Nothobranchius furzeri: one gene and its partner. The protein of the gene in region 2 purifies or fractionates together with the protein of the main gene of each other region. This does not show direct contact. Links are inferred from orthologs where the notes say so. Each region holds a gene or a part of one and is shown on either strand. Other genes may lie near its edges. The genes, in order: fkbp5 and cdk15.

What was found.
Region 1: the proteins of cdk15 (region 2) and fkbp5 purify together in Homo sapiens (affinity purification with mass spectrometry; 3 studies listed by BioGRID and IntAct, counting the BioPlex papers as one, with this or other methods). This does not show direct contact. The link is inferred for Nothobranchius furzeri from reciprocal best matches to the Homo sapiens genes CDK15 and FKBP5.

The regions. Positions count from the first base shown.
Region 1 is NC_091743.1:66,803,315-66,807,235, forward strand, and holds the start of fkbp5 (peptidyl-prolyl cis-trans isomerase FKBP5), read right to left. Parts: upstream 2,235-3,921; 5' UTR 2,003-2,234; intron 1-2,002. UniProt on the Homo sapiens protein: Immunophilin protein with PPIase and co-chaperone activities. Component of unligated steroid receptors heterocomplexes through interaction with heat-shock protein 90 (HSP90).
Region 2 is NC_091746.1:29,187,406-29,191,326, reverse strand, and holds the start of cdk15 (cyclin-dependent kinase 15), read left to right. Parts: upstream 1-1,532; 5' UTR 1,533-1,538; coding exon 1,539-1,781; intron 1,782-1,882; coding exon 1,883-2,029; intron 2,030-2,113; coding exon 2,114-2,208; intron 2,209-2,310; coding exon 2,311-2,390; intron 2,391-2,521; coding exon 2,522-2,616; intron 2,617-3,921. UniProt on the Homo sapiens protein: Serine/threonine-protein kinase that acts like an antiapoptotic protein that counters TRAIL/TNFSF10-induced apoptosis by inducing phosphorylation of BIRC5 at 'Thr-34'.

The DNA of each region.
Region 1 (3,921 bases), on a different chromosome or scaffold from region 2:
GTTTTTGCTCTAAAGAGAGAAGTCTGGAAATCTAAACAAAGGAAAAGAACTTTGTGTTCTTTCATCTGGCGGACAAAGAGAGACAAGATGTGACTCTAATGACTTAAACACTTGACTCTTGGACCAACAAACATGTTAAAGGCTTTGGTTTTTATGTTTATAAGAAGCTTTATAAACTAAGATAAGAAATATCTCCAGTAAAGGCAAAACTGATCAGAAAGCAGCCTCGCGAACACAGACTTTACTGTGAACTCGCTTTAATAAAAGCAGCTCTTATTAGTAGATTTATTTTCCGTTAATTACACAGAAGGGTCCGTCATTCTTTGCAGATATCACGAATGAGCAAAAAGATGCTTCTCTGCATAAAAAGAAGACCATGTAAATAAACCTCTAATTATTAAACGACAGGCTGAGCAGCAGAATCCTTGTTTTGCATACTGATCAGGAAATAGAATTTGAATCGTTTCTAAATGATTTCTTATGATGCTGAGGCACTTTCCATGCTCCTCATCACACAGGTTGAAACCACAAAGAGCCGTCTTGACTGGCATCACTTTACCCCGCATCCTCACTTTTGTACTTGTATGGAAAAATACAGTTTTTATCCTGAAAAATGTCCCAAAACGTCCGTCCATCAGCAGCTCCACCCTTCCCCGTGTCTTTTAAATTCCACGGATGTCATTTCAGATGTAACTCATGTAACTCGTGTGTCCATGTGTGTGTCTGAACACAATGTTCCTTCTATTCACAGTTCGCCACCGGCAAAGCCCAACAGCGTTCATCAACCTTAAACCCCCCTGATGCACCAGCTTTAATTTTATTTAACAAAAAAAAGGCAAATAAGCTGTTCTAATTTGGTAAATTTTGCATACACTCACATTTTTTACCCCCCACATGATTTAAACTGAGATAAACCAGCGTTGTGACTGCTTATCATCACTGATGATTGCAGACAAGTAAAAAGTTACTCATCCCATCATTGTGATCTCGCCCTTCTTTTTGGTGTATTTCTGTCATCTCTTCCTCGTAAATAAAATATTGACACTTTGCAAAAGCAGAAACAGGGTGTAAATTGTTCCAGCACTGATAAGATGGTACGTAGGCTTCATGTACCAATAACTAAGATGCCCTGCGGAGGAATGCAGGAACAGAACACAATGAGCCAAAGACCACATCCAGAGACGCACACAGTGTATCTGTACATTCTGTTTCACATCCGTACTCTGTTGCTGATTCATACCTAACAAGTGGAGACTCACTGATAATCCTGCACACACAGACACCCCAAAAAAACTAAACTTCTTTTATTAACCTGTTATGGTGCTAAGATTATGATAATAACTTGATATTTATAGATGTCTATCATAAAAATGCTGTAATCATTAAAATCTATTTGTTTTCCAGGCAAAAATTATGCCTGACCTTAACTTTTATAAGTTGTTAACTGACAAATAAACTTTATTTTTTTTCACCTGAGCTGATGAAAATGTGTGCATTTTTATTAGATACTTATAGAATAGTCCTGGCTGGAACTAATTTTGGAGGACCATTTTTGTGCTTATCCCCTCAGCACCTGGTGTCAACCTAAACATTCAGAGTTCTTCACAAGCTGCTCAGTAATATGTAACCAGGTTGTAATGAATCAGCTCAGAGTCGAGTTGAGTTATAATTCTCAGAAGTAGCCTGCACAAAACCCCTGTAATTTATGAAAGGGACACCTAAGCCTAGAGGGATCCTGGATGAGAACATCCACCAACCTCTTCTGGGACCTTCACAAGAAGGCTAAGGACCACATTCAGCCAAAACCTATCCATCCTGGCTCACTTTCCCCCCTCCTTTAAATAATCTTGTATATTCTTATTCTTTAGTGAGACTGTGCACAAGTTCCGTTTAACTCAGCCAGGCGTGAACGAAATTTAAAAAAAAAGATTATTTTAATTAACTCCTAAATTAAATAAAGTATTTCAGAAAGATGAAGATCTGTGTATTAAAAGAGACTTACGATGTTTTGAGGTCCGCTTTTTTATTTTCTTCCCCCAGATGGTTGCCGGTGACGAACAGCTGCAAATTCACTCGGTGGATGTTTATTTCTAAGAAAATGCGTCTTCCTATCTCAGATCCAGCAGGGTACTAAGTGTTCTGCCCATGTGGTTCTTAGCTATGGACTCTTTTTGTCTTTATCCCACCCCCCTCTGCTCCTTCTTCCTCTCCTCAGTGATGAAAGTACCGGTGCGGTCGCAACACGCAGCTCTGACTCCAAAATGACACTGAGGAGATACTACAGAGACAAACTCGCACAAAAATGACAGAGGCAGGAGGAGGCGAGGGGGGTGGAGGGGGGTGGCGGGGGTAAGCAGAAACGAGATGAGTTGTGGGGAGGGTGTTTAGTGTAAAATTAAGGGCAGGTCTTGGAAAGCAGCCACAAAGTAACACAATGTTCCGGCTGTACTGTAGCTGTGCCGCTGCTGATGAGAACACAGTGTTCCAACAGACACCCTGACCTGTAACCCGTTCCGTGCCAGGCCGGGCGGGAACAGCCTGTTCCGCTGCAGCGTGTTCCTCCTCTCTCCGCTCAGCGGACAACACATATCAACAACAAGAGGAGCTGTCTCCGTCTCTCTGTCAGTCCCAGCCGAACCGAACCCCGTAGCAACACGGAGACGTGTCAAAGCACCGACACTGACGTACACCTCTGAGTCCGATGAGTCGCGCGGTTTGACGGATTACTGTTTCTGAGGGAGACGGTAAAAACTCCTCCGCCTTTATCTTAGTTTTTTTTATTTAACGCTGTAGTTACCGACAAAAGCGCGACTTTAGTAGCTGTTTTGTGCGATGATGTGCTGTTATTATTAATTAATGCTCTGTTATGGCTGTTATTTGAACACGAAAGGGGGAGTTGCACCAGCTATATTAGCTTAAGGCTAAACTTGCACAGGTGTTTTTAGCTAGCTATTGAGAATAAAAGCCTAACCGGTGCAGCAATACGTTTATTTGTGCTTTCATTTCCTAAATTAGGACTTTAAAAGAGAATGCCAACAGGAACTGTTTTGTTAAACCAATAACTTGAGTCGTAACTTAACTTTTTCTGCCTGATTAAGTTATTATGTCAGATTAGCATTTTGTATTAGGGAGTGACAGATTATCCCTGCCAAGAAGTAGGATGCTGAGGTTCAATGTAATTTTATATTCTCCACCCAGGAACTAATTAAATACTATTTAAAGTAATTTAACATTCACCAGGCTATCTTTTCCATTTGTTGTCACCTTACACTAAGAATAAGTTATGTTACATGCTAACTTTATACTTCTAGTTAATACGTAATTGGATTTTGAAGCTATTGAGTTCATTATTGAAAAGTAACCATCCAATTGACTATGCAATGAAATATAATTAAAAAGCTTCTAGAAAATAATTATGGATTAAACTGCCCTAAACTCAGCATGAAAGGTAAAAAGATGAACCCATCAGGTAATATGCAAGATTTCTAAACGTACGTTTCTGAATTTACTTTTAAATTTCAGTAAATATGAATGCATCGACTCTTGCATCCGCAGCAGAGTAATTTCACTTTACAGTGAGCACATTGTTCCATGGATTTTTATTTCTCTTGTAGTTACATAACATCATAATGACACTTTGTTCAGGTGGTGTTATATGAGACTCTCTTTCATAAGGTTTAATATTTTATGATCTCATATTTGCAAGCCATATCATTTCAAGGAAAATTTACAACCCCTTTGAAGCTATTTTAAAAATTGCAACATTACAAGCAAGAGCAATGTCAACAAAAAAACACTTTAAACATTAAAAAGCAGTGAGTAGTGAAGTGTTTGGAGTTAGCTAATGTATAATAGGTTCCTTGCTCGGACAAGAAACCAGAAGAGTAACATATTAATAATCTCCCCTGACATGTAAAAGTA
Region 2 (3,921 bases):
CGCGAGTGGCGTGGCTTACATGTGTTATAAACGGTTGCTGGCGAGAACTGGTAGATATTTGGCCAATCAGCATTGCCGAATTGATCTTTGAGCCATCGCCCTGCTTCCTGCATGCTTCTGTCTTATGAACCCAGCAGTAAACCCATGGTCACATGATCCCATTAGCATCAAGATGGCTAAAGGCAACCTACACCTGTCCAAAACCCACACGGACAGCTGCTTAAAGCGTTCGATGTTGGGCTGCACATGGGGACAGCTGAAGGAAAGATGCAGGCCAGCAGTTTGGCATCACGATGCTGAGGTGAGCAGAAACCGCCACACGCTAGCCCGACTCCCCAACTATGTGTCTGAGGTAGTCGTGCAGCAGACAAGCCCATTCAACTCCGATGTTTCCTCAGTGCAGAGGACATCGCTATTCAATCTGATGAGACACTGGTTAGTTCTACTGTTACGTTATTGTACAACCCCTGAAAGCGCTTCACAACACAATCAGTCATTCACACATTCACACGCTGGTGAGAATAAGCTGCAATGTAGCCACAGCTGCCCTGGGGCGCGCTGACAGAGGCCTGCCGAGCTACACAAACGACGTTTTAACTCTTCTCATGGATTCTGAAGATAATCTAGAGACATCCGTGCTGTGGGTGATGCTGATGAGTCACTGCAGAGCCAGAATAATGCTCTGTACGTTGCAGCATGTGGGTTATGCAACTTAAGACGAAATGAGGTGAGTGACAATCAATGGCGCCCCCAAGGGGTGGCCAGAAATTAGCTTCCCCCCTCCCCCCCCAGCAAAAAACGAGTGTTAATAAATCATATGAATGTTCACTCAAACCATAAACTGATCTTATTTATGCAAGACATGATTGTAAAACAAAATAAAAATAATGTAATTAATGAGTAAAGAAATAATCAGAATAAAAAAGTGCTTATATTCCTGCTGCTCACCGTTTAAAAAAGTTTTTATCTCCATATTTTTGTGAACACAGCAACAGGTGAATTAAACTAAAAAAAAATACATTTCAAAATAAAATTCAAATGTTTGGATACTTCCTTTTTAAAAAATAATAAAGGAGCATCGCCACAGGCTAAACTCTCCCAGAGTTACCACAAGGACCAATTGGGTGGTGCCACTCCAAAAATTTTGTTGGCCCTGTTTGGCCACCCCTATGAAAATTCTGGAGGCGCCCCTGGTGAGTGAACAAGGTCCACTCACCTGATGGATCATCTCCAGACTCAGGTGGGTGCAGGACCACCAGACTGAGAAATGTGTTTGTTCCTGCAGTGACTTTTCAAGGACCTGATGTAGCGTGATAGTTTATTTATTTTTGTTGCCTTTGGAGAGAAGAACTTCAAATTACGCTTAAAAAGTAAAGCGGTGGCCACAAGTCCAGCTGCAGTTGATCCACTGTAATGAGAGTCAGACGCCAGCAGAGGGCAGAAAACTTCTCCAGACTCAGGACTGGGCAGCTCCTGCTGTTGAATGGAGACTGTTGTTCACTGTTGGGGTGGGGTGGGGGGTGGGGGGGGGGGGGGTCATGGGATCTTGTCTGCATGTCATGAGACAGAAGGGAAGCATCTGGACCACAGAAGAAGAAAACATGGAGAACTTGTTTCGCAGCATAAGGGAAGCTGGACACCAGCTAAGCGGGTGCTGCTGTGGTGAGGAAGAGGAGGACGAGGAGGTGAAAGAGAAGAGGAAGGAGGATGAGGGTAATGATGATGAGGATGATGAGAATCTACAAAGCAGCAGAAGCTGGATGTCCCTCCCTTCTCCTGAGGTACCGGTTAAACTTGATGCGTGTTTGGCTCCAGGACGCGATGGTGGCAAAGCTTCCTCCGGTTCTGTTCTGCTGACCCAGCCATTGTCCATGTCCTACAGGTGGATCAGAACCAGACCAGCTCTTCCAGCTCTGGGACTCCGCCTCACTGGTTCCACACTCTGCAGGCCCAGCGGTCCAGAGTGCAGCGAGGACGCAGCAACAGTGACCCTCTGAGAGCAACAGCTGTCCAGAATCTCTTCACCTGGGTCAGACGATGGGTCACATGATGTGTGAAGTGTTGAGCATGTGACCTAAAACTCCTGATCTGACGTGTAACGTGCTGTGTTCAGAAAGCGGGTCTGGAGTTTGGAGCTGCCCAGTCCTACCTGAGTCTGGAGAAGTTGGGAGAGGGAGTGTTTGCTTCTGTATATAAAGGCATCAGCAGGTCAGAGATGCCCCTCCGGGCCACCGTAGACGGGCTATCAGCATTTCCTTACATGTGTGTTTTTTATTACTGAGCCTTAAATGTAAAGTTTCTTCTGTGGAGGATAAATGGGCAGCTGGTGGCTCTGAAGGTGATTCGAATGAAGAAAGAAGAGGGAGTTCCTTTTACCGCCATCAGAGAAGGTGACCAATCAGATTGCTCTCTCGCCCTCCTGAGTGCATCAACCTCTGCCCTGACACCTGTGTGTGTGTGTGTGTGTGTGTGTGTGTGTGTGTGTGTGTGTGTGTGTGTGTGTGTGTGTGTGTGTTCACAGCCTCTCTGCTCAAACGCCTAAAACATGCCAACATTGTCCTGCTGCATGACATCATCCACACCAGAGAGACACTCACCCTGGTCTTCGAGTACGTGGTAAGCACAACCGCTGATAACTGTGTTAATTTATATACTTGTTGACCTGAAGGGGGCGCTACTGATAAATCCATCTGTCATTTTTATGGAATCAGAAATCACCAGTTCTGCAGAAGAGGGGAAGTATGCAGAGCATGCATAGATTAAAAACCAGGATGTGGTTTCAGGGTTGTTCCCAACTGGGTCAAAGGCAAGTGGCGATGTAACAACAGAAAAGAAAAGTCATGCAGAGAGACTGGATATCTGTTGTGGAGTCCCACAGGGGTCAGGCTTGGGTACCACGCTATTTCTATTGCACATCAATGGCTTGTTTCAGGTTTCCAGCACGCTAAGACGTGTTTTAATGGCAGATGATCATTTTTGGGATATTTAGATCTGGTTACAGCACAAATTAAAATTAATAATAAATTTGAGTAAAGGAAATCATGCGTTTTGGAAACTGTAAAATAAAGTGACGCTAACACTAAATAATGGGGAATGAAAACACGAACATCCAAGGATCCTTCTTGAAACTACAAACGTTAAAGTTTAGAGACTTGATAGAATTTAGGATAACATTATTTATGTAGAAATTCAAAATAAAAAACACTTAAAGAGCAAGTCACCCCCTACCAGATTCTTACTCCACTCCCACTTCCTGTTTGAAAAATGCAACAAATGTTGTTGCCTAGCAGACCGAGAGGCGGAGCCACTAACAAATACACACACACAGGCTCACAACGACATTGTGACATCATATGGTACCAGCTAACGTTCTAGGGTAGCTCTTAGCCAATAGCGATGGCAGATTTAAATTCAAATGCAGTGCAGAGTTTTTACCTGACGACGGCACAACACTGACAGTTTTAGGCAGAAAATTAAAATTTTAACTAAAATGCACTAAAGTGCAAAACTATTGACTACACGTGTCTGCAGCACGATTAGACACACACTTATATAGTTTATCAGCAAATAAAGTTGATTTGGGGGTGACTTGCTCTTTAAAGACTTAAAATTAAAAGACTGTAAACAAAAATAATCGTCGTCGTCTTCCTCCGCTTATCCGGGTCCGGGTCGCGGGGGCAGCATCCCAACTAGGGAGCTGCAGACCGTCCTCTCCCCGGCCACCTCCACCAGCTCCTCCGGCAGGACCCCAAGGCGTTCCCGGACCAGATTGGAGATGTAACCTCTCCAACGTGTCCTGGGTCGACCCGGGGGCCTTCTGCCGGCAGGACATGCCCGAAACACCTCCCCGGGGAGGCGTCCAGGAGGCATCCTGACCAGATGCCCAAACCACCTCAACTGGCTCCTTTCGATCCGGAGGAG